3 linked regions of the Oryctolagus cuniculus genome follow. The protein of the gene in region 3 purifies or fractionates together with the protein of the main gene of each other region. This does not show direct contact. Links are inferred from orthologs where the notes say so. Each region holds a gene or a part of one and is shown on either strand. Other genes may lie near its edges.

Evidence for each region.
Region 1: the proteins of SIN3B (region 3) and SAP130 purify together in Homo sapiens (affinity purification with mass spectrometry; 3 studies listed by BioGRID and IntAct, with this or other methods). This does not show direct contact. The link is inferred for Oryctolagus cuniculus from reciprocal best matches to the Homo sapiens genes SIN3B and SAP130.
Region 2: the proteins of SIN3B (region 3) and ARID4B purify together in Homo sapiens (affinity purification with mass spectrometry; 3 studies listed by BioGRID and IntAct, with this or other methods). This does not show direct contact. The link is inferred for Oryctolagus cuniculus from reciprocal best matches to the Homo sapiens genes SIN3B and ARID4B.

The regions. Positions count from the first base shown.
Region 1 is NC_091434.1:118,465,746-118,473,986, reverse strand, and holds the start of SAP130 (histone deacetylase complex subunit SAP130), read left to right. Parts: upstream 1-2,959; 5' UTR 2,960-3,068; coding exon 3,069-3,140; intron 3,141-4,005; coding exon 4,006-4,123; intron 4,124-8,241. UniProt on the Homo sapiens protein: Acts as a transcriptional repressor. May function in the assembly and/or enzymatic activity of the mSin3A corepressor complex or in mediating interactions between the complex and other regulatory complexes.
Region 2 is NC_091444.1:54,442,882-54,451,022, reverse strand, and holds part of ARID4B (AT-rich interactive domain-containing protein 4B), read left to right. Parts: intron 1-551; coding exon 552-1,763; intron 1,764-2,163; exon of another isoform or gene 2,164-2,277; intron 2,278-4,936; coding exon 4,937-5,050; intron 5,051-5,811; coding exon of another isoform or gene 5,812-5,825; exon of another isoform or gene 5,826-5,961; intron 5,962-7,630; coding exon 7,631-7,846; intron 7,847-8,141. UniProt on the Homo sapiens protein: Acts as a transcriptional repressor. May function in the assembly and/or enzymatic activity of the Sin3A corepressor complex or in mediating interactions between the complex and other regulatory complexes.
Region 3 is NC_091447.1:65,106,862-65,115,002, forward strand, and holds part of SIN3B (paired amphipathic helix protein Sin3b), read left to right. Parts: intron 1-2,522; coding exon 2,523-2,729; intron 2,730-3,937; coding exon 3,938-4,081; intron 4,082-6,759; coding exon 6,760-6,882; intron 6,883-6,965; coding exon 6,966-7,055; intron 7,056-7,140; coding exon 7,141-7,259; intron 7,260-8,141.

The sequences.
Region 1 (8,241 bases), on a different chromosome or scaffold from region 3:
AATTGCTTCTCGTAGTGTCAGTTTCACCTCTACAGGTTACCTTTTAAATGCTCAAATAAGTCTTTTTTTTTTTTTTTGAAGATTTACTTATTTATTTGAAAGTCAGAGTTACACGGAAAGAGGAGAGGCAAAGAGAGGGAGAGGTCTTCCATCCGCTGGTTCACTCCCCAGATGGCCTCAACGGTCGGAGCTGTACCAATCTAAAGCCAGGAGCTTCTTCTGGGACTCCCACGTGGGTACAGGGGCCCAAGGACTTGGGCCATCTTCTACTGCTTTCCCAGGCCATAGCAGAGAGCTGGATCAGAAGTGGAGCAGCCAGGTCTAGAACTGACACGCATATGGGATGCTGGCACTTCAGGCCAGGGCATTAACAAGATGTGCCATAGCACCGGCCCCCAAATAAGTCTTTTAATTCTACTTTCCCATGAACTTTCTGAAGCACCTCTCTCTCTTCTTATTTGACAGGTAGAGTTATAGATACTGAGAGAGACAGAAAGGCCTTCTTTCCATTGGTTCACTCCCCAAATGACCACTATGTCAATCTGAAGCCAGGAGCCAGGTGCTTCCTCCTGGCCTCCCATGCGGGTGCAGGGGCCCAAGCACTTGGGCCATCCTCCGCTGCCTTCCCAGGCCACAGCAGAGAGCTGGACTGGAAAAGGAGCAACCAGGACTAGAACCCGGCGCCCAAATGGGATGATTAACCCAAGTGATCAATGAGCCGGCCCCTACACCTTTGTATGACAAAGCACCACAGAAGTATGAAAGAGGGTAGGGGAAGCAGAATTGAGGAAAGTTTCTTGAACAAGAGAAACTATTTTCTTTCCAGTTGGGCATTATAGAATTGGCAGAACTGATAAGGGTGCTGTGGAGCAACGGGTTAAGCCACCCCCTTCAGCGTGGGCATCTCTGGTTAAAGTCCTGCTGCTCGACTTCTGATCCAGCTCCCTGCTAACGTGCTCGGAAGGCAGTGGATGATGGCCCAAGAGTGGGGCTCTGAGCTCTTGGCTCCAGCCCTGGCCATTTGGGGAGTGATACAAACTGGAGCAGAACCAGGAGAGAGCAAGGGAGGCTTAAATGATGAATTCCTGGTCAGTAAGCTAAGCAAGAGATCTAAGCACAGCCCTGGGTGTGAAGTTAAGTCGGTGTTAGCAGCTTTAGTGGGGCAGTTTGAAAAGGCGGGGGACAGCAGATTCCAACAAGTGGAGAGAGAGGAGACTAAAGAATATTCCATCAGTTGCTTTGAGGAGTTTGAGAATGAAGGGGAGAATAAAGTGGGGGAAGAAAAGTGACCTGAAAGAGGAAGAGGGGCACTTGAGAGGCAGCCTGGTAGCCAGGGGCTAATTCCTTGCTAAATTACCGAAGTCTGCAGGATGCCAAGAAGGGATTTGCGACCCGTTTGTTTTTTAACTAATTCAGAAACTCCAGGCCTTTATGACCGTCTGGGAAGGGGAGAGGGGCCGTATTCTAGTTTTGGCTAAGCCTTCGACAGGTGTATAAACTCCAAACCAAGCAAAGCGCCGCTCCTGGCTTCTCTGAAGACCAGGAGAGCTCGGGCAGCTGCCTTTCCGAGCTGCGTGTCAGAGCCCCGCTCCGAGCCCGCTGATTTCAACCGCGGGAGCTGGCTCGGAGACAGGCCCGGCGCAGACCCCATCCTCCCGCGACGCTCAGGCTTGGCCCGCCGTGGCCTTCGGCAGCCACAGTAGGCCCCAAGCACAGCCCGAAACACCCTCGGCCTTGCCCGCGGCCCCTCCGGCTCGCCGAGGTCGGCTCGGCCTCCATTGCCATTCCCGCGCCGCGCCGCACCGCCCGCCCCTCGGGAAAATGAAACCTAGCGCCGTCAGGCTGAGGCGAAGGGGTGGGATCCACCGTCCTCTCTCACTCGGCAAAGAGAAAAGGCAGAACCGACTCCAGACGGCAAAGGGGTGTGTAGCACCGGTCGAGTCGCCGGGAGGCCCCGCCCCGGCGCTCTCCACCTCCTTCCCGGCCCGCCCTCCTGGCTCCGGAGACTACACTTCCCAGAGGCCCCCGCGGCTTCGAGGGGCAGGCCCGTCCGCTCCCCGGCTCACAGCGGGCAGGGATTGGTTCCTCCGGGGCGAGGCGGGGCCTCCCCCAGCCAGTAGGCGACAAGCTCGTTACGGCGGCGGAAGCAGCGGCACCGGAGTGAGGGGTGGGGGGCAGAGTGCTAGCGCCCCGGCGGCGGCTGCGGGTCCGGAGCCCGAGGACGTCGGTCCTGCAGGCGGAGAGCGCACGGGAGCGAGCTCGAGGCGGCGCGGCGACCACTCGGCGCAGCACCCAGGTAATGGCGGGACGGGCGCCCGGGAGGGGAGGGGAGGGGAGGAGGCGAGGGGGCGGGGCGGCCGCGCCGGGCTGCAGCGTCCGTCCCGCTGCGCGTCCCCGGGGAAGGGCAGAGGTGTCTCGGCTCCTGCGGCTCGGACCCCGGGTCTTTAGCGAGCTGCGCACGGCGGTTGGGGCGGAGGCAGGGTCCGGGTGTCCTGCGGCGAGGAAGGGAGAGGCACCGGGAGGGGTGGGCTGACCCAGGCATGGGGGCGTGGCGGACGTGGGCCTCGGCGGGGAAGCGGAGCTGTGGAGGGAGCGCGGGCGGGCGGGCGGCCCAGGGAGTTTGGCTCCTGGAGCAGTTTAAAGTGACTCTCCACATCCGGGCCCTGCGCCCGCCGCTTTCAGACCCCGGCCGAGGCGGGGCCTCCCAGCTCCCCGCCCCCCTTGCCGGGAGCGCTTGTCTTCCCCTGCCATTGGCTCAGCCTCGAGGGGTTTGGGCTGCCCCAGCGAGGCTCGCGCCTGATTGGCTGGCGGTCGGCGGGAGGGTGGGGCGGGCCCAGAGCTCTCAGGCCGCTATGGATTGGTGCTCGGCCTCTAGTGACGCGCCGGGCGTGGGGCCAATGGGCGGGCGGGGGAGGTAGGGGCAGGTTCGGGGGAAGAGACGCCTGGGAGCCCCGCGGCGGCCGGGTTGGCGGGGTGAGCGGGGCTGGCTGGGCTGGACAGCGGCGGGCGCGGGGAGCGCTCCGGCACGAGTCCTCTCCGCGGCCCCGGAGCCCAGCGCTGCCGCCGAGATGGGCCCTCCGCGGCAGCCCCAGGCCGGCGAGATGGAAGCCGGAGGTGCGGGCGGCGGGCGGCGGCTACAGGTAAAGGGGCTCGCTGCTTGTGTTGTCTGGGGTCTCCCCGGGACGCTGACTTCCTCCGGGGTCGGCGTCTCAGGCACCCGGAGTGTCTGGAAGCCTGGGCGCTGCGACCTCGGCGTGGGGTTCGGGGTGGGGTGGGGTTGCAGGGGAATGGGGGAGATTGGCAGACCCTGACTCTCGAGGGCGAAGTGGGAGGCTATTTCAGAGAAGGTGGAGGTCTCGGCGTCCCCTGGCTCAGCGGGGGCTTGTGAGAGAGGGAGGATAAAAGAAATCCGTAAATGGAGGCCTTTGCAGAAAAGCGCTGGAGAATTCCTTTTGCATCACGTCTTGATGTGAGATTTTGAGTCCCTCCTTTGGGTTGGGAATCACCCCTTCGAATCCTTCCTTTACACACCAATCGTAGTTCTGCTCACCTTGCTGTGCGATTCGAACCTTTCAAAGGGACGTGTCATTTTTTTCCCTAAAACTTTATAGGTCCATTATGCATTGTGGTGATACCTATCATGTAGCTGTTTTGCAAAATTCATAGTCCACAGGTATCCCCCTGCACGGTACACTTACTGATCTCCTATATATCAGAAACTTACACATAATTTAAATAATGCCAGCACTTACAAGAGCAGTTGAACAAGTTGATGGCAAATGGAATCTAAAGATAAGTTTATTTAGATGCAGAATATTTTTGAGATCTCTGCATGGTTGACTTTTTGAAGACACCTCATATTTGGATTGCAAGTTGTTATTTTAGTTAAATTATGCTAGATTAGCTATTCCAAGAGAAGATGTCATAGACAGTAAAGGTGGCTTAAGTTGCAGATATCGATTCTGCTTTAGAATCTAGTAATAACGACATGACTCTGTCCTACAGGTGGAAATGAGTTCTCAACAGTTCCCTCGGTTAGGAACCCCTTCCACCGGGCTGAGCCAGGCTCCTTCACAGATTGCAAACAGTGGCTCTGCAGGATTGATAAACCCAGCTGCTACAGGTGAGATGTGTAATATTCTTTATCGCTTCCTGCTTTACCAACATTGCCAGTTTTCTAACTTAAAAATCAGCTAATTTCATCTTGGGTTTTAGTACATACTAGTGTATTGAGGTTGAAGAAAGTGTATTTTACTATTCTAATTTGAAAAAGTCTTTTTTTCCCCTAGTATTTTAATCACTTCATTCACATGTACTCATGTACTGGAATACATAGGCAACTCACAGTAAAATGTGCCTGTAAGAGCTGTTTTTCAAATGCATTAATGAGTTTTTTTTTTTTTATGATTTATTTTACTTACTAGAAAGAGTTACAGAGAGAGAGGGAGAAACTAGATAAAGGAAAAGGTCATGAGTTTGAAAGCTCAGTAATTTTAAGATAATTCTACCAACGTGATCTAAAGATTCAGAGAAACCCTACTCAGAATCCCAGCAGGCTCTTTTGTAAAGATTGACAGCCTGGTTCTAAACTTGCTGGGGCTATTTGAAGGATCTAACATGGCCAAGGCAATTTTGACCAAAGAAGAAGCGGGAGGACACTACACCCTTACTTCAGGACTGGTTGTAAAGCTGCACTAGTTAAGACTAAGCAATATCAGTGTTGAGATAGAAACATATAGGGGCCAGTATTGTGGTCATCCCATATGACTGCTGGCCCATGTCCTGAATGCTCTGTTCCTGACCTGGCTCCCTGCTAATGGACTGGGAAAGTAGTGGAAAATGGCCCAGGAGTTTGGGCCCCTGTCACCCACATGGGAGACAAGGATGAAGCTTCCAGATTCTTTTTTATTTATTTATTTATTTTAATTTTTTTATTATTATTTTTTTTGACAGGCAGAGTTAGAGAGAAAGATCTTCCCTTCCGTTGGTTCACCCTCGAAATGGCTGCTACGGCCGGCGCGCTGCGCCGATCCGAAGCCAGGAGACAGGTGCCTCCTCCTGATCTTCCATGCGGGTGCAGGGCCCAAGGACCTTGGGCCATCCTCCACTGCCTTCCCAGGCCACAGCAGAGAGGTGGACTGGAAGAGGAGCAACCGGGACTAGAACCGGTGCCCATATGGGATGCCGGCACCGCAGGTGGAGGGTTAACTAATTGAGCCATGGCGCCGGCCCTTCTAGATTCTTGTGGCCATCTGTGGAATGAACCAGCAGATGGAAGATCAGTCTCTGTTTCTCTCTCCTTAACGCTCTCTGAATGAATGAATGAATGAATATTTCAAGGAGAAAAAAAGATAGAAACATCTGTCACTAGAAAAAAGTGGAAGCTCTAAAAGTAGTCTCAGACCTACGTGGTCAGTCGATTTTTGACCAAAATGTTTAAGTCATTCAGTAGGGAAATGACCACTAGAATATGGGAAATGATGAACCTTGACCTTAACTCAAGACCTAAATATAACTTTTAAACTTTCTGAAAGAAACATCAGAGAAACTTTGCAACCTTGGGTTAAACAAAAATCGCTCAATTACAACAAACACTAATCATGAAAGTAGTAACTGATTTTTTAATAGAAAACTTTAAAAGTAGTAACCGATATATTATCCTCAAAGTTTAAATTGTCTGCTGTTCAAAAGACATCTTTAAGAAAATAAAAGGGCCTGGGGGCCGGCACTCCACAGTGTAGTGGGTTAAGCCTCCATCTGCAGTGTCGGCATCCCCATGTGGGCGCCAATTCGTGTCCTGCTGCTCTTCTTCTGAAACAGCTCTGGGCTGATGGCCTGGGAAAGTGTTGGAGGGTGGCCCACGTGCTTGGGCCCCTGTACCCGTGTGGGAGACCCAGAAGAAGCTCCTGGCTCCTGGCTTTGGATTGGCCCACCTCCAGCCATTGTGACCATTTGGGGAGTGAGGCAGTGGATGGAAGATTTTCTCACTGTCTCTCCTCTGTGTGTCGCTCTGCCTCTCAAATAAGTAAATCTTTAAAAAAAAAAAAAAAAAAAAGGGCAAGCCACAGACAGAAGACAAGAAGACATTTGTGAAAAATATTTCTATAAAGGACTCATAACTGGAATATGTTAAGCATTATAACTCAGTAGGAAAAAGATAAAGAACTTGGTTTTTTTAAAATGAGCAGAATATTTGAATAGACACTTCACCAAAATGAGGAGAGCAAATGAAACACACGAAAAGGTGCTGAAATGATCAATCCTCGGAACAACGCACGTTATATCCATAGTGAGAATTCCACTAGTGTGACTGAAATTAGAAAGCGGGCACTGCCAAGTATTGGTGTGGATGTAGAGCAGATAGAACTCATGCACTGTTGATGGGAATGCAAGAGGGACTGGCCGCTTTGGAAAACAGTTTGGCAATTATCTTGTCGAACACATGCCACAACTGAGCAGTTCCGTTCTTTAGGTATTTACTTAGAATAAATGAGAACATGTTTATACAAAGACTTGTACTCAAATGCTTATAGAAGCTTTATTCATAATAGCCAAAACTTGGGAAAAACTCAGGTATTTATTAGCTGGTGATAGACAAATTGTGACATATGCAAATAATAAACTACCACTGTGGTGGTATATCCATGCAGTTTAATACTACTTAGTGGGACCAGAGCTGTGGTGGCATCCCATATGTGCGTTGGTTCATGTCCCAGCTGCTCTACTGTGATCCAGCTCTTCGCTGATGTGCCTGGAAGGCAGCAGAAGATGGCCCAAATGCTTGGGTCCCTGCACCCACATGGGAGACCTGGATGAAGCTCCTGGCTGTGTCCTGGCCCAGCCCTGGCTGTTGCAGACATCTGGGAAGTGAACCAGTGGATGGAAGATTTTTTCTCTTTCTCTTTCTCTCTCTCTGACTTTCAAAATGAATAAATCTTTAAAAAAAAAAAAATACTACTCAGCAATAAAAAGACCAGGTTGCCAGCACCCCAACAGCATGGCTAAACCTCAGACACATTACACTGAGGGAAAGAAGCCAGATACACAGGACCTTAGATTGTGATTCTGTGCATAAGAAATTACGGAAATGACAAAGCTGTAGTGGCAGCGAGCAGAGCCGTGGGAGAGGGAGTGGACTGCAGTGGACATGACTGAGCTTATTGGAGTAGTGGGAAAAGCCCCATATCCAGATGTCCAGATCACATTGTGGTTATCCTGCGGTCCACTTTCGTGACATTTTATCTAGGCTTACCCAAAGAATTAGTGAATTTTACATATAAGTTGTATCTCAGTAAAGCTTATTGATTAAAAATAGACATGGTTGAGTAGACACTTCATAAAAGAAAATGTATATGAATGGCTTATGGTCACATAAAAAGATGCTCGTTGGTACACATCATCATAGAAATACTAATTAAATACTAATTAAAGCCACGATGATACACACACACACACACGCATATGCATACATACATACACACACACCACACTGCGCACCCAATAGAGTAGCAGTCTGTGAGCACTGGGAGAATGAGGAGCACTGGAACTCACCTGCTGGGGGAAGCTAGAATGGTTCAGCTGCTCTGGAAAGTCCTTTGACACTTTTTTAGCATTAAACTTGTGCTTACCCCTTAACCCAGGCCTTCTGCCTCTAGGTGTCGCTGATGATATTTGTAGAAAATCACTGAACTCTACTCTTAAAGTATCCATATTTTGTATGTAAATTACACCTCTGTAAAGTGGTTTTATAAATAAGGATTCTTAAAATTCTGACTGACCTGAGAGGAGAGTTAATATATAGCAAAACAGAAGGTATGCATCAGTCTTTTCTTCCAGTGCTCACACTTTGTTTTCCTGAAGGGGTCACTGGACAAGGTTGTTGATCATAGCAAAAATTTGGAAATAACCTAAAAGTCCCTCAGTGATAGAGTGGTTAAAAAAGCTCTAATATGCCCATGTGATAGAATACCATTTAGCCTTTTTTTTTTTTTTTTTTTGACAGGCAGAGTGGACAGTGAGAAAGAGAGACAGAGAGAAAGGTCTTCCTTTGCCGTTGGTTCACCCTCCAATGGCCGCCGCGGCCGGCGCGCTGCGGCCGGCGCACCACGCTGATCCGATGGCAGGAGCCAGGAGCCAGGTGCTTTTCCTGGTCTCCCATGGGGTGCAGGGCCCAAGCACTTGGGCCATCCTCCACTGCACTCCCTGGCCACAGCAGAGAGCTGGCCTGGAAGAGGGCCAACC
Region 2 (8,141 bases), on a different chromosome or scaffold from region 3:
ACAACACCAGCCCTGCAGACTGGGTAATTTATAAAGAAAATATATTTAGTTCTCACGTTTCTGAAGGCTGAAAAGTCCAAAAATACCAAGTTGTCAGCATCTGGTGAAGACTGTTCATCCAGCATCAGAACATGATGGAGGGCAAGCAAGATTGCTGTGTGAGCCCATGAGGGAGGGCAGGGGCAAGAGTAAATGCTTAAGAGCCAGTTCACTTTTACAGCAAAGCTGCTCCCTCTGTAACTAACCATCCCCAAGATGATGAGCCCCCATGATCTAACCACCTCTTAAAGGTCTCTTCTCCCAATACTGTTATAATCACAGCTAAATTTCAGTGTGTTTTCAGAAGGGATATTTAACTCATAGTAGCTGGATTGGAGATTTTTCTTCAGTATTTTATGGGCATTGTTCAGGTTTTTTTTGTTTGTTCCAGTGTTGATTCTCTGAAGTCCAGAACTCTTCCATTTCCTGATTCTTTGTATGTGACTTGTGTTAAGAAAAAAGAAGATATTATTAGAGTTCTTTTCTTACCATTTTTTCCTTTTGTTTTCTAGCTTCTGAAAGTTCTGCTGAGGACAGTGAGCAAGAAGATGAGAGAAGTACTGAGGATATAGATAATAATGGCAAAGAAGAATCTAAAATTGACCATTTGACCCACACCAGAATTGAACTTATTTCAAAAGAGGAGCAGAACAGTTCATCTCTGCTGGAAGAAAACAAAGTTCACACGGATTTGGTAATATGTAAACCAGCATCAAAATCTCCAGAAAGACTAAGAAAAGATGTGGAAGGATTATCTGAAGATACTGATTATGAAGAAGATGATGTCACAAAAAAGAGAAAAGAAGTCAAGAAGGACACAATGGACAAATCTTCAAAGCCACAAATAAAACGTGGTAAAAGAAGATTTTGCAATACAGAGGAATGTTTAAAAACTGGATCACCTAGCAAAAAGGAAGAGAAGACCAAGGGCAAAGAATCACTTTGCATAGAAAATAGTAGCAACAGCTCTTCAGATGAAGATGAAGAAGAAAAATCAAAAGCAAAGATGACACCAACCAAGAAATACAATGGTTTGGAGGATAAAAGAAAATCTCTACGGACAACTGGATTCTATTCAGGATTTTCAGAAGTGGCAGAAAAAAGGATAAAACTTTTAAATAACTCTGATGAAAGACTTCAGAACAGCAGGGCTAAAGATCGAAAAGATGTGTGGTCGAGTATTCAGGGACAGTGGCCTAAAAAAACGCTGAAGGAGCTTTTTTCTGACTCGGATACTGAGGCTGCCGCTTCCCCACCCCATCCTGCCCCAGAGGAAGGGGCAACAGAGGAGTTACTGCAGACTGTGGCTGAAGAGGAGAGTTGTTCACCCAATGTAGAGTCAGAAAAACCACCACCAGTCAATGTTGATAGTAAACCCATTGAAGAAAAAACAGCAGAGGTCAATGACAGAAAAGCTGAGTTTCCAAGCAGTGGTAGTAATTCAGTGTTAAATACCCCTCCTACTACGCCCGAATCGCCTTCCTCAGTCACAGTCACAGAAGCCAGTCAGCAGCAGTCCTCTGTGACAGTATCAGAACCCCTAGCTCCAAACCAAGAAGAGGCTCGAAGTATCAAGAGTGAAACCGATAGCACAATTGAGGTGGACAGCGTTGCAGGGGAGCTCCAGGACCTGCAGTCTGAGGGCAATAGCTCACCAGCAGGCTTTGATGCAAGTGTGAGTTCCAGCAGTAGTAATCAGCCAGAGCCAGAACATCCTGAAAAAGGTGAGGAGGAAAAAAGTGTATGTTGACTTTTTTTAGAATTTCCCCTCTTAAATTTTTAATGGTTTCACAGTATCTCGTTTTAATATGACACATTTAAGTGATGTACTTGTGTGATCCTGGTAAAAGTGGAAATTTGAAAGGTAATCTAACTAATGAATAGTGAAATGCATTTAAAATCTTGAGGGGCCTTTAAAGTCCTTTGCTTGAGCCGTCCATGAACTTTCATAGTCGACCAGAACACATGCTGGAAATTGCACCCAGGCCAAAATCCACACCTGTTTGAAAAATCATTATATATGCTGGTTGACTATATGGCTTGAGCAACTGAAATATATTTCTGTAACATTGTTTTTGCAATTGTAATGTGCAGTTTCTCACAAACATTTTGATTTATTGACAGACCCCTCCACCCTTAACCAAATACTGTATGTAGGGGTTTGGAGCAACCAACTGTCCAGGCACTGCTTTCCTCAGACAACCGTGTCAAACTGATTTTCAAGCCTGACTAACTTGTGTGAGTCTGTAAAGGAATTTGATGCTTTCTTAGATGCATAGCTTCCAAATTGAAGGACCAATATATGTGTTAATAAACTATAGCATTACTTTTTTGATTTTCCGTGAAGTTGTTTAAAAGTGGAAATTCAAATTAGTACTTTCCAAAAGTATTAGTGCCTTTCGATGGTGCCATACCTATACATTTCTATCATCATTTTTCTTATAAACCAGTTCATTCAGGTAGCTTTGAATCAGTATACTCTAGGCTGACACTTGGCTTTTGAAACACATTTTTCCATTGGAAAGATAGAATGCATAGGGTATACATCAGGTTTTCATGTGCTAGCTATAGATTTTCAGCTAAACTCAAAAGAGAAACAATCTAGATTAGTTCTAAGGTTTTTCTCACAAATCTTAAAACATTTCTTCTTTTAAAAATTTTTTATTTATCTGTGAGACAGATAAAGAGCTTCATCCACTGGTCTGCTCCCCAAATTCCTATAATGTTCTAGGCTGGGCCCAGCCCAAGACAGTAGCCAGGAGCTCAACCTAGGTCTTTCGTAAGAGTGGCAGGAGCCCAACTATTTGAACTATCAGTGCTGCCTTCCAGGGTCTGCATTAGCAGGAAACTTGAGCCAGGAATGAAACTGAGGAGCTTTGATGTGGGATGCAAGTATCCTAACAGGTGTCTTAACCACAAGGCCAATCACCTGCCCTAAGACATTTCTTTTTAAAATTAATTAAGCAAAAAGTATAGTTGCAATTAAATCAAGATGATCTTTGTTTTTTGTTTTTGTTTTTGTTTTTTTTTTTCTGCTTTCACAAGTATACAGTTACTATAGTTACATCTGTGTGCCATACTCTTTCATGGAACCAAATTACCTCGGCATGAATGGAGTAATCTTCCATATGAAAGAATCTTTTGTCACAAATGATGAGATAGGCAGTCAACAACAGTATGATAAAATTTTACAGTTACATTTATTAGTAGGTTATATCCTCATGTTCTTCATTTCTTAAGAAAGATTAAAATTAACAAAAAAGTTATTGTATCATCTACAAATAGACTGTTAGTATTGCCTTTTTGATTTTAGTCTGGACTAGTTTGAAAAGTGTAGAAGTTAAGAGCTGCTCCCAAATTTAGGATGAGAGAAATCATCTGCTTTATCAAATCAAAATATTTTTTAATTGTTTAGAATATGTTTGGAATAAATTCTCAAGTATCCTTTGTATAAGGCCTGCTTTTAATAAATTTGGGAATATTAGAGAATCTGCATTAAGTAAAAATATGTTTCACTATTTAGTTTTTCCACTGTACTTTAGTGTTTATGGAAGTTTTTATTTCTTAGTATCTGAAAGCATTAAAATTAAACTCTTGGAGAGAAAAATGGCACTTAATTATAAAATTTTGTGCTTCAGTATAGTTGACATTTAAGTCACCATATTTATGTTTCACTTAAATCACATTAAAATAATGCTAAGAGAAATTATAAATAACATATCACCCTTTAAAAAAGAAAAGTATCTAGGAAGTTGCAAACATTTAATAGCCTGTCCCATTCTTGACCACAGTCATGTTTCAACACTGAAATATTGATTTTACCATTGGTAACAGAACCAGAAAACTTTGTAGTAAACCGTGCATGATTCTTTCATAATATTAATTTATATCATGTATTATAGTATCTGACATTGGAACTAAATGGAGATAGCACTTCATTCATCTGTGCCTGAAAGCATCTTTTGTGTAGTCTGAGAGATAATATAAATAATTAGAAAAATACTAAAACGTAGTAGATGCTAAGGACCAAATGAGTAGTATAGAAAGATACATCACTGGAATAGTGATTAATCCGTGAAGCTGGGAGCCTCAGGGAAGGTCTTAGTGAAGATGCAGGACTTGAGCTAGTCAAAGAAAAAGGAGACATTTATTTATCATGTATTGGGATAATTTCCCACCAAGATATTTCTTAGAATTACTGTATTGAGTTTGTAATATAGATATATACACACACACCATTGCAAATATATACATAATTATTTGTAATGTGTATATATATAGTATATATACACTTATACCATTGCAAATATATACAAACATTTGTAATGTATATTATATTGTAATATATTACATATATATTTTATATATAAAATAACCAGTGTCCTGAGAGCTAAGCTTTTTTGAAATAAGTGTTAAAAAACCAAGTGTGAATTATTACTAAAGTTTATCCCATTAATATTTTTATGCCACTTAAAATTATATTAATATCATTGTAAGACATAACATTGATATTTTTAAGCTGCAATTAAATTTTAATATTTTGATTTTAATGAATCTTAACAAATTTCAGTTTTTATTTTCAGCATTTACCTGTTTTTCAGTTTCTAGATATATAAACTCTCAGTGCTATATTGAAAACTATTTTCAATTTATACTGATTTTTCTAAGGATGTGTATACTTTATTTACTTTCTAAAATACCCTAATTTTTATTATATGCAAGAATTCAGCTTTGGTGAATGGTAGTTTATTAAAAATTTATATTAACTTGTATGATAATTATAAATCTCACAAAGACCATGTAGGTTTGGAACTGTTTTTTTTACAATGTGGAATTAATTTATACCTAGGGTATGTTTGATTTTATTTTGTGTTACTTAATTTCTTTCCCATCATAGCCTGTACAGGTCAGAAAAGAGTGAAAGATTCTCAGGGAGGAGGAAGTTCATCAAAAAAGCAGAAAAGAAGCCATAAAACGACAGTGGTAAACAACAAAAAGAAGGGAAAAGGCAGTAAGTGTGAAACCTCTAGTTTTTAAAATATAAAAATAATAGCTGATATACTTTGCCCCTCCCCATTAAGAAAAGGGTATTCAGAATATGGGATAGATCAATGTTTTTTTCTCACTACCTTCAAAAATGTCACACAAAAGTTTTCTGCCTCTCTGTAGGTAAAGCAACTCATGTTCTCCACACTACCATTAACCCTCCTCTTGTTTTTAAATAAGTTTTTAAAAAGGGGAGGGGCAGTCATAGAGTTTTCTGATCCTATAGTAAATTCTGTGATTTAAGCAAGTTGGTATTGTTCAGCAGCTGCATTGATTGTTGATGAATGATTGGTTAATCCTTTTAAAAATCATAACTAATGTAACATAAACAAATATCATTGTTACCTTTGTGTTCCAGTTTTTTTTCACTTAATTATCTATATCAAATATTGTACAGTTCTTCAGTCGTATATTTTTATTACCATGAAATTGGCTGCTTAGTAATTCTTCAAGGCAAAAGCAACATAGAAGGAAACAATCAAGATAGCTTTAGAATCATAATTCCAGCAATTCCAGTTTGTATTTATGTTTGGTACGCCACACTGTGTGACTCTAGAGCAACTACAAGCTAGTATGCTTCCAGCCAAATACTTAACTTTAGCAATGACGCTGCTCATTGACTTACAGAGAATATATTATACTATATTTCTCCTGAGGGCTGCACATTGTATCTCTCTTTTGTAGATAAAGGAAGAAGCGGAAAATATGTAAAGAATTTTTTTTCAGGTGTCCCACACTGACCTCCTGCTGCTCTTCCAGGAGACTCCTGCCACCTCCACTGCCTGACCTTTGCTAGCAGCCGGCTTGGCTGCACTTCAGTGCAGAAAAGGGTTATTCGGCCAGCTCCCCGAGGTTCTGCTGAGCCCATATGACTTCCAGGCGGTGAATATGGCATCCCTCGGGCCCCGGGCGGCTGTGCTCAGCAAGGCCATGAAAGCCAGGCAGAGGCAGGCCACTGCATAGAGTGGGACTGAGCCTTGGGTGACTTAGCTTGGAGCTGCCAGAGGTTCCAGAGCAGCAGTGGGAGGCTGGGAGGGAATTCAGATACAAAATGCGAAGAGTGGTGGAGTTTCTTTATTTCCAAAAGAGCACGGTGGGAGGAGATGCTATGTTCATTTATTTACTATTTGTAATACTTTTCAGGCTTTACAGCCTGTTTTTTTTCTTTTAATGGCTATTAAGTAAAGAATCAATATATCATAATGCAAATTGTTCATCAGTTATTTGGTGTAACTGATGGATATTTAAAATGATAGGATTCATTTTTCTTACATTGTGATATTTTTGTCTTCAAGACTTTATTGTTTAAATGACATTTCCTGAGAGGGCTCATCTTCAACAAGTTAGTTAATATATCCATACAGTATAGAGGGTGCAATAGTTGATTGAGTTTTTCCTATTTTAATTATTGGGATTCTGCCATGGTAAATCAGAATGAGTTAACTCTCTCTGAGAATGACTTGTTAAAGTGAATTAATTTCTGATGGAATCTAAAATAGTATTTTATATCCAAAAAGTAATTCATGGAAATACTAATCCTATCACCTATTCATATGGTAAGCTGTCAAGGTTAAGTATTTGCATTCTAGTACTAAATCTTAATTATCTAAGGCAGATGTAACATAACTGTTATACTGACTACTAAATTCTCATAAACTACTGGATATATTCATCCAGGAGGGAATTTACCAATGGAAAAGTGATGGTTTATTTTAGTCATAGGAGTTATTTAAGAAGAAATTTATTATACATGTCAAAACTGTGAGTGTATTTTCAAGGAATTCTTTATTGAATATGATGATTATGCTCTTTGTAAATGGCCAAGAGAGTAAGAAAATATTATGTGTCCTATTTTTTAAAAAAGTGATTTATTTATTTATTTGAAAGGTAGAGTTACAGAGAGAAAGAGAGAGAGAGAGAGAGATCTTCCATTTGCTGGCTCATTCCCCAAATGGCCTCAACTACCCTAGGCTGGGCCAGGCTGAAGCCAGGGGCTTGGAACTCCATCTGGGTCTCTGTATGGGTGGCAGGGCCCAAGTACTTGGGCCATCATCCTCTGCTGCTTTCCCAGTGCTGGAAGTTGGACTGGAAATAAAGCAGCCAGGACACTAACCAGTGTTCATATGGGATTCTGGTGTCCCAGGCAGCAGCCCAACCTACCATGCCACAACACCTGCCCTATCTAAAGTTTTTTAAAATTAAGAAGTTTCTAAAATATAATTCTAAAAGATGCTGCATTTTTACTCTATATAGTAACATCATAGATTTATAAAAACCTTCAGGTGATTGCTGTGTATTTGACAGGCTATGTAATTTGGAAGATTAGTGTGTTTTTATTATTATTATTATTATTATTGGCCGTTCAAATACGAACATATGTTTTTTTAAACTGGGATGCTGCTACATTTGTGTGTGATTTTTTTAGGTTTATGGGCAGACTGCTATAGTCATAAATTCAAATGGTTAGTTTAAAATTATACACTAAAAGCATGTGACAAATTCATTGTTACCCTTTTGGTTATTAATGTTTTTCTTTTTCTTTCAGCAAACAGTAGTGACAGTGAAGAACTTTCAGCTGGTGAGAGTGTAACTAAAACTCAGCCAGTCAAATCAGTTTCCACTGGAATGAAGTCGCATAGTACCAAATCCCCAGCAAGGACACAGTCTCCGGGAAAGTGTGGAAAGAATGGGGATAAGGATCCTGATCTCAAGGAAGCCAGTAATAGATTACCCAAAGTTTACAAGTGGAGTTTTCAAATGTGTAAGTGACATATGTTGACAAGTAAGCTGTAGGAAGTTCATCCTGGTAACTCTTAATGCTAGTACTCTGAAAAAGAGGCTATACCAAACTTAAGAGACATACTAACCAATTGCAGTGTATAGATCTGATTTGAATAAACAAATCACAAAAGAATAAATTTTATGAGAATGGTAGCAAACAATATGAAACTATGTTTTTGATATGCTAGAAAAAACAACCTGGTATTATATTTGAAGAATGGATAGGGTTACAGATGAGGCAAGATTTGTCATAATTGGTAATTACTGAAGCTGGG
Region 3 (8,141 bases):
CCATCCGTGGCGCAGGGGTCTTAATTTCGGATGCCCACCCCATTCGCTCAGAGGAGCCTCCCCCCACGAGCCCCCTCACGCTGAGTCCCGCGTCTTCAGAGCCGCTGAGGTGGGAAGGGGCCTGACGGGTGCTGCTGCTCGCTTTGCCTGCGCCGCCAGCCGTGAGTCCTCAGGCCGGTACCACCTCCCGCCTCGGCCCCTGGGGGCGGCGTCCAGGCCAGGCATGGGGACCGGGTGTGGGTGGAGCCCCCGGCCGGTGCAGACCTGTGACGTGCAGTGCGGCCGGGATCGGGGCTGCAGAGGTTCCCAGCAGGCCAGGCCCAGGTTCTCAAGCGCCCGAGCCCTTGGGCCTGCGCGGCCTCGCGCACGCACGGGCCGTGGGCGGGGCGTCTGTGCCGGACGCCGTGACGGATGGGACAGGCCAAGGAGGGGGCGTGGTGGGTGGGGCCGCTGGGGCGGGGGCAGGTGCTACGCCGCCGACTGTGGACGGAGGGGTGCCGGGGGGCCTCCTGTGGTCTGAGGCGTCGGTCATGAGCCCCGCGGAGGCCCCGTGTGATGGGGGCAGCAGGTGTGGCAGTCGGTGCCTGTTCCTCCGGGCGAGGTCAAGGTCTCTGCCGAGGTCCTGTGAGGCTGGCCCAAAGGCCGCTCGGCTAGGTGGCGCTCGGCTAGGTGCTGGTAGTGCGTGCTCTAGGTGGTGTGCACTGGGTGGATGCCGTGACGCGGCACGGTCGGCTCCATAACTTCCGGTTTCTATGCCCTAATCTAGACAGCCGCACGGAGAAGCAGTTGCTCTGGGTGTCCGCTCCTCCAGGGCTCTCGCATGGGAAGGTGGTTTTAAGAGTTCACTGGGGCCGGCGCTGTGGTGTGTGCGTGTGTGCAAGGTGGTGGTAGCGAGTGCACTAGGTGGCCTGTGTGTGTGCCAGGTGGGCCTGAGCTGCCCCCTGCAATTCCGACAGGGCTGGGGTGGACGCGTCGTCCTCACCAGGCAGCTCCTGACCCAGTGAGGGGAGTGCTGGCTTATTCCGGAACTTCCTGGGGCCTGAGGGCCACGGCCCCTGTGAGCCTGCGTTTTCCAAGGCGCATGTTGAAGCCACCTGGCGTGAAACTGGCCCACCCGCCCGTGGGGGTGTGCCCTGTGCGGTGGGGTTTTAGCATCCTCGCCCCTGATTCCAGAACATTCCTGCCACCCCACTCTCGCCCCTGCAGCCCCTCCACGGCTCCCGGTCCCCGTGGATTTGCGTGTTCTGGACGTTCGGTCTGTGCAGCCCCAGGCCGTGGGCGGTTTCCAGGCCCCCGAGGCGCTAGCGCTGGCCCCTACTGTGGCCGAGTGGTGTTCTGTGGGCGGCTGGGCCACCTCGTTTGTCTGTTCACCCGCGGCCGGAGGCTGGGGGTGTTCCCAGAACCTCTTGTTGCCCGTTGAGAACACTGGCCTGGGCTGTCTGGGCGGCTGTTTCTTGTTCCTTGGGAGCAGGCAGCGGGTCTGCACCTGGGACTCTCTGGTTATGGTTTCTCTCGGGCACGCTGCGGAAGCCATCTGCGTTCAGTGGACGCCGACCGTGGGGCCGTGAACTTGGACCTCCTCTCATCCTCTCTGGGGATGCGGGGCGGGGGACAGCAGCGGCGGGCACAGAACCGAGGCTCACAGCTCCCACCACCTCCCCCACGTGTCCACGTCGGCGGAGCCAGCCGGCTGCCGGTGGAAACGCACTAGGGGAAAGGCCACACCTGTCCAGAACCTCGCGGCGGGACGCCGGAGCGCGCCTCAGCGCCCGCAGGTCGTCCCGAGACGCCCCCACCCCCGTCTACGCCAAGGCCACGCCCCTTCCTTAGGGGGCACCCGTGCCTTGGCAGGTGTTGGAGCCCGCAGGGGGCCTCGCCAGAGCTCCCGCCCATGGCTGCTGGGGGGCGGCCCTACCCAGCGTCCGTGGCAGCAGAGGGTGAAGGGACGCAGACGCACGCGCGCAGGGGGGAGACTGAGCGGCTACGCGGGAACCTCTGGGCTTCCCCACGCCTTCTGAGCGGCTTGGAAAACGGCTTCGTGCTGCTTCGACCCCGCCTCCCACCTGTGAAACTTTGCGGCTGTGGCCAAGGACACCCCCACCCCCATCACCGCCCCTGTTGCCGTGACAACTCCACGGGGGAGGGGCGGGGGGCGGTGCACCTGGCCTTGCCTGCCCCAGGCTTCTCCAGGTCGAGGTCGGTAGCAGGTTTGGTGTCGGGCAGTGCCGACAGCAGAGGGTCCCTCCCCTTCCCGTCTTAGAAGGTGCTAGAAGGCTGCCTTCCCAGATGGCCCAAAACTCAGCAGAGGATTGGACATTTCTCCCACGCGTGCGAAGTCCTCGCGGGGTTCCCAGAGCAGGGCTGGGAAGTGTTGGGGGGCAGTCTCTGCTGGCCGTGAGCCTGTTCCGTTTGTGCCCCCTTCGAGCCCCCCAGGAGTAACCTCGGTGTCCCGTAGAAAGTTCTAGGCTGTGTGCCGGGTGTCAGCGAGGGGTAACTCCCCGTCTCCTTGCCTGTCGCTGCAGGAGGACGCGCATGGACACGGCCACGGGGACTGCGCCGGGGATGTCAAGCAGCCTGCGCCGTACAAGGAGGACCGACCGCAGGCGGCGCTGGAGTCCGACTCGGTGGAGTTCAACAACGCCATCAGCTACGTGAACAAGATCAAGACCCGCTTCCTGGACCACCCCGAGATCTACCGCTCCTTCCTGGAGATCCTGCACACCTACCAGGTACGCCGGCTCCGGGCGGCTCCCGGGCCATATTTCTTTGCACCGTGCTCAGGTATATAGGACGTAAAAGTCACCATGCTGAGCGGAAGTGCAGCAGCCGGGACTCAAACCTGCACCTGTATGGGATGCCGGCGCTGCAGGCAGGGGTTGTGCGGGCTCGAGCCGCGAGGCCCCGGCGCTGCTGGGATGGTGGGGCCACGGCGTTCTTCCACGAGAAACACCGGAGACAAGTTAACCACCACACAGGTGGAGGGGGTGTGGCTAACTCAGGGCAGCGCTCACCCTATAGGGGAGAACCGATATGGGATATGGGTGCCGCTCTGCTTCTCCAATCAGCCCCAAGGTCACGGAGCTCGGCTAGCACCCCAGGTGGTCCTGATGGGCCTGCGCCACACCCGGGAGCTCCCTGTTACAGGGAGCCGGGTGGGGAAAAGTGCCTGCCAGCAGTCAGGGTGTGGGGCCCCTCCAGGAGGCCTGGGGCTCCCGGCTGTCCACCTCCTGCCCGGGCAGGGCAGACTCCCTGCCAGGCACAGCGTCACCCTCACTGCTTTCTTTTGTACTACAAAGGAGCAAGCTTGCGTAACTGACTTCCAAATAAAAGAGGGAGACACAGAGCGCTTCCACCCACTGGTTCACTCCCCAGTTGGCCGCAATGGCTAGAGCTGGGCCAGGCCAGAGCCAGGAGCTCCATCCGGGTCTCCCACGTGGGTGCAGGGGCCCAAGCACTTGGGCCATCCTCCTCTGCCCTCCTGGGCCACTGCACGGAGCTGGATCAGAAGTGGGGCAGCTGGGACTCGAACTGATGCCCATATGGGATGCCTCAATGCCAGCCCCGTGAAACATACCTTTTAATTCGCTTTTTGGGTAACCTGTTTGAAGTTCCCTCATGTTCTGACTGCCAACTTGAGTGCAGCTGGCTGGTTCCTGTCCTCTGGCCTTGGCCCCCCGGTGCCGGTCACTGCCTTGATCTGGTCGGGCCGCCTGCCCAGCGTGGCCCGCTGCTGGCTCCCCACGCCTTCTGCGTGGGAGCGGCTGTGCGCCCGACTCTGACCTTGTGGTTCCCCAGCCCCCGGGTGCCCATCTGCAGCCGGGGCTGAGACGGCTGTGCACCGGCCGGTCCCCGGAGGCTTCCGCCTCGTGCAGGCCCCGGGGAGCCCGGCCCCCCGGCTGACGCTCCCTCCCCGCCCCCTTGCCTCCCCGGGCGGCAGAAGGAGCAGCTGGGTGCCAAGGGCCGGCCGTTCCGTGGCATGTCGGAGGAGGAGGTGTTCGCCGAGGTGGCCAGCCTCTTCCGCGGCCAGGAGGACCTGCTCTCCGAGTTCGGCCAGTTCCTGCCTGAAGCCAAGCGCTCCCTGGTGAGTGCCCGGGCCCGCGCCAGGCCGGCACACCGCCTGGACCCGTGGGCTGCCCCCAGCCCGCGCCGGCTGCACCGTGTGGCCACTCCACCCGCAGTGGTTCTTAAACTGGCGCTGGGGGCGGGGGTGGCCACCACCTCTCAGGTGCTGGGTGGGACTGGGGCCGGCCTCGGGGTGGATGGGAACGTGGGGGTGGGGGGGAGGGGGCAGGCCGCTGCCGGTGCTGTCTTGTCCACTTCCTCTTTTCTCACCCTCTTTCCAGTGAGCCTGCAATTTTGGTTTTTTCCTTTTATTGATGTGGAATTCAGGCAACAAAATTCACCATCTCCAAGTGGCGTTTGGGGCACTCACAGGGTTGGACAACCTCCGTCTCTTCTCTGGCCCCATCCTAGTGCCTGGAGCTGGGTGCCCTCAAGGGCCTGGACTCTGGGGGCTCCAGCCCTCCTGACCCCCCAGGTCGTGTGTCGGCTCCCTGTCATGTGGGGACCCAGCAGGGCAGTAGCGTTCTTGCCGGAGAAGCAGGTGTAGACACGGGCACTCGTGCAGGAGGAGGTGTAGATGCTGGGCATTTGTGATAGAGAAGCAGGTGTAGATACTGGGCCCTCATGCAGGAGAAGCAGGTGTAGACGCGGGGCCCTTACGCAGGAGAAGCAGGTGTAGACGCGGGGCCCTCACGCAGGAGAAGCAGGTGTAGACGCGGGGCCCTCACGCAGGAGAAGCAGGTGTAGACGCGGGGCCCTCACGCAGGAGAAGCAGGTGTAGACGCGGGGCCCTCACGCAGGAGAAGCAGGTGTAGACGCGGGGCCCTCATGCAGAAGCAGGTGTAGACGCGGGGCCCTCACGCAGGAGAAGCAGGTGTAGACGCGGGGCCCTCACGCAGGAGAAGCAGGTGTAGACGCTGGGCCCTCGTGCAGAAGCAGGTGTGGGCTGGAGCTTGCAGGCTTCGCCCTGCCTGGCCTGGGGAAGACCCCCGGGAGTACTGGAGGCGGGGCTACGGGAGTCCCCCAGGGACAGGGACGGCCCTCTTCCGCAAGCCTGTGTCCCGGCCCCCTGCCCTCTGATGCGCCTTCCCCTGAATTCCGGGCCCTGCCCGCTCTCAAGTTCAGAATCTGCCCTGTCCCCTGCCTCTTCCTGGGGCCCTGGCTGCCTGCCCGCTCCAGGGACTCGGTACCCGCGGAGCAGACGGGTCTCAAGGCCTGCCTGTGTGGCGCAGCCGCGTGGTGGGCCATGTGGGCCCCCGTGTCCCCCCGCTGTCCCCGGGGCCGCTGGGTGTTGTTTGTGGGTGGTCCCCCCTGGGTCTGGGTGTCACCGCTGTGTCCCACACCTGCAGCGCTCCGCCTAGCACGCTGCCCCCAGATGGGACCTGCGGTGTCCACGCTGGGCTCCCCAAGCCACCGCTGCAGCACTGAGCGGGCAGGGCGGTCTGGCCCTCACGGTCTCAGGAGGTGCTGTGGCTGCCTCCCGGAGGGGAGGCGCTGGGGTAGGAGCCTGGGGGATCAGCGCCCCCTGTGGGCCGCGGGGAGGAGGCCGAGAAAAGTTTGCTTAGGGAAGTCCCGGCCGGAGTGACCCCCCCCCCCCGTGTCCTGGGGTCAGTGTTGCACGTGGGGCTCCGTCTACTGGGCTGTGGGGCGTGCACAGTGGACACTGCCATGGGGGAAACAGGCCGGCCGATCTGTTCCTGCCCAGTGGGTGTCGGGGGTGGGGGGACACTCTGGTTCTCTGGTGGCTGTGGCCACAGCGCCCTCTGGTGGGCGCAACTCAGCCTTCGCCAGGCGGCCCTTCCGATGCGGGAGCCGCATCGCCCAGGAACAAAGTCAGTGTAGCATCGTTAGTGACTCGGGCACAAGAGCGCCCTTGTGCGTTGAGAAAGAGCTGGGCCGGTCCAAAGCCAGCAACCATCCGGGTCTCCCACGCGGGTGCAGGAGCAACCACTGCTTTCCCAGGCCATGGCAGGGAGCTGGATCAGAAGTGGAGCAGCCGGGACTCGGAGCGGCGCCCACATGGGATGCCTGCCGGCGCCGCGGGCGGCTTCCCCACTGGGCCGCGCTGCCGCTGTATGGCCCGCACTGCGGGTGAAGATCCTGGTGCTGAGTCGGCCGTTCCAGAGCCGCTTGTGTAGGCCCGGGTGCCCGCTGGGGAGAAGCAAGGGCTGGCGGCTAGCCCAGGAAGCAGGCCCCCCACCAGCTCCCGGCCCAGCCCCCTTATGTCCCACAGAGGAGAGAGCCCGGCCGTGTCGGGTGCGGTGGGTAAGACGCCCGCATCCCACAGCAGAGCACCTGGCTCCACTTCCCACCCAGCTCCCTGCAAATGTACCTGGGCAGGCCCCGCCCCCACGTGGGAGACCCGGATGGAGCTCCTGGCTCCTGGCTCCAGCGCTGGCTGTTGTGGACGGCTGGCGGGCGTGCTGTCACTTTTGAAATAAGTAGAAGTAGAGAACTTTTTTTTCTAAAGGAAAGAGCCCAAACCTTGGTGTCCAGGCTCCCATCGGTGGCCTGGTGCACAGCAGCCCCTCCCCCCCATTTCCGGGGCGCTCACGTGCAGGCGGTGGGGTGGCCCCGGCGGGGAGCACCTCCGGCAGCTTCTGGCTTCACAGGCGCCTGCCTGCGGGGCTCCGGGCCCCTCTTCCTCCCCCGCCGCAACCCGGCCCCCTCGCTGACCACCCCACGCCCCGTCCTCAGTTCACAGGAAACGGGCCGTGCGAGACGAGCAGCGTCCCCAAGGCCGGACACGAGAGGGGCTTGGAGCACAGCAAAAAGCGCTCGCGGCCCTCGCTGCTCCGGCCCGTGTCGGCGCCGGCCAAGGTAACGGGCGGGGGCTGCGGGCGCCGGGGTCCCCGGGCCCCAGAGGCGGGCGGCGGGCCTGAGCGGCGCGCTCGTCTCCGCAGAAGAAGATGAAGCTTCGTGGGAACAAGGACCTGTCCATCGCGGCCGTGGGGAAGTACGGGACCCTGCAGGAGTTCTCCTTCTTCGACAAGGTCGGCGGGGCGGCGGGGGCCCTGGTGAGGGGGGCTGAGCCCCTGTCCCCGCCCCGCCGGAGCTGAGCCGCCCCCGCCCCCGCAGGTGCGCCGCGTGCTCAAGAGCCAGGAGGTGTACGAGAACTTCCTGCGCTGCATCGCGCTCTTCAACCAGGAGCTGGTGTCGGGCTCCGAGCTCCTGCAGCTGGTCAGCCCCTTCCTAGGGTGAGCCCCCGCCCCCGGGTGCCGCCTTCCCCACCGCGCTCCGCCCCTGGCCCCGTGCTGTGCCCGCCCCCTGTGCGGGAGGCGGAGCCGGTGGGCCCCGCCCTGCAGGGGAGCTCGAGAGCCAGAGCTCCCATCATCTCTGCCTGCAGCAGGTGGGCCGGGCTCGGCCAAAACCGGGGCTCCCCGTGAGGGGCGGGGCCCCACGCGCTTGAGCCGCCCCTGCCGCCTCCCAGGTGCGCGTGGTTAGCGGGGAGCTGAGGGCCGCCGTGGAGCTGTGCCCAGCCCCGGCACCCTCGAGGCCTGAGTGCTCGCCCCACGTCGGGACACAGGACCCTTGCACTTGCTGTGCCCTGGCCAGGCCTTTACAGACCCGACTGGCCTGCACCTCGGAAGCCTCACAGGATGTAGTGCAATTCTAGAGAGCCCCCCCCCCATAACCAACCCCTCAGAAGCCCTGGCCCCCCGGAACCTCGCGTGCCCCCACAGCAGCGTCCAGCACCCCCTGTAGGGCCCAGGGGCTGGCGACTTCGGGAGCTGACTGCGCATGCGTGCTTCACGCTCACGCCCGCAGCCCTGGGTCCCGCGCACCTGTGGCGTGCAATGGCTGCCTCGCCAGTGGGGGTCGTGAAATGTTCCCTCCCCGCAGTTTCCGGGAGCTCCAAGAGCACCCGCTCCCGCAGCCCCTAACGTGGCGTCTCAGGGGTGTCAGGGCACCTTTGGGCCCTGCTTGCTGCGCATGCGCACCCTGGGAGGCGACAGGGGGCAGCTCCAGTCCTCTGGCCCCTGTACCCACGTGGGAGACCCGGCTGCCTGGCCAGGGATCAGCAGGCCGGGTTTGTTCCCACGCTGGGTCCTGGGCAGACAGTCTGCTCCCTGGGGTCG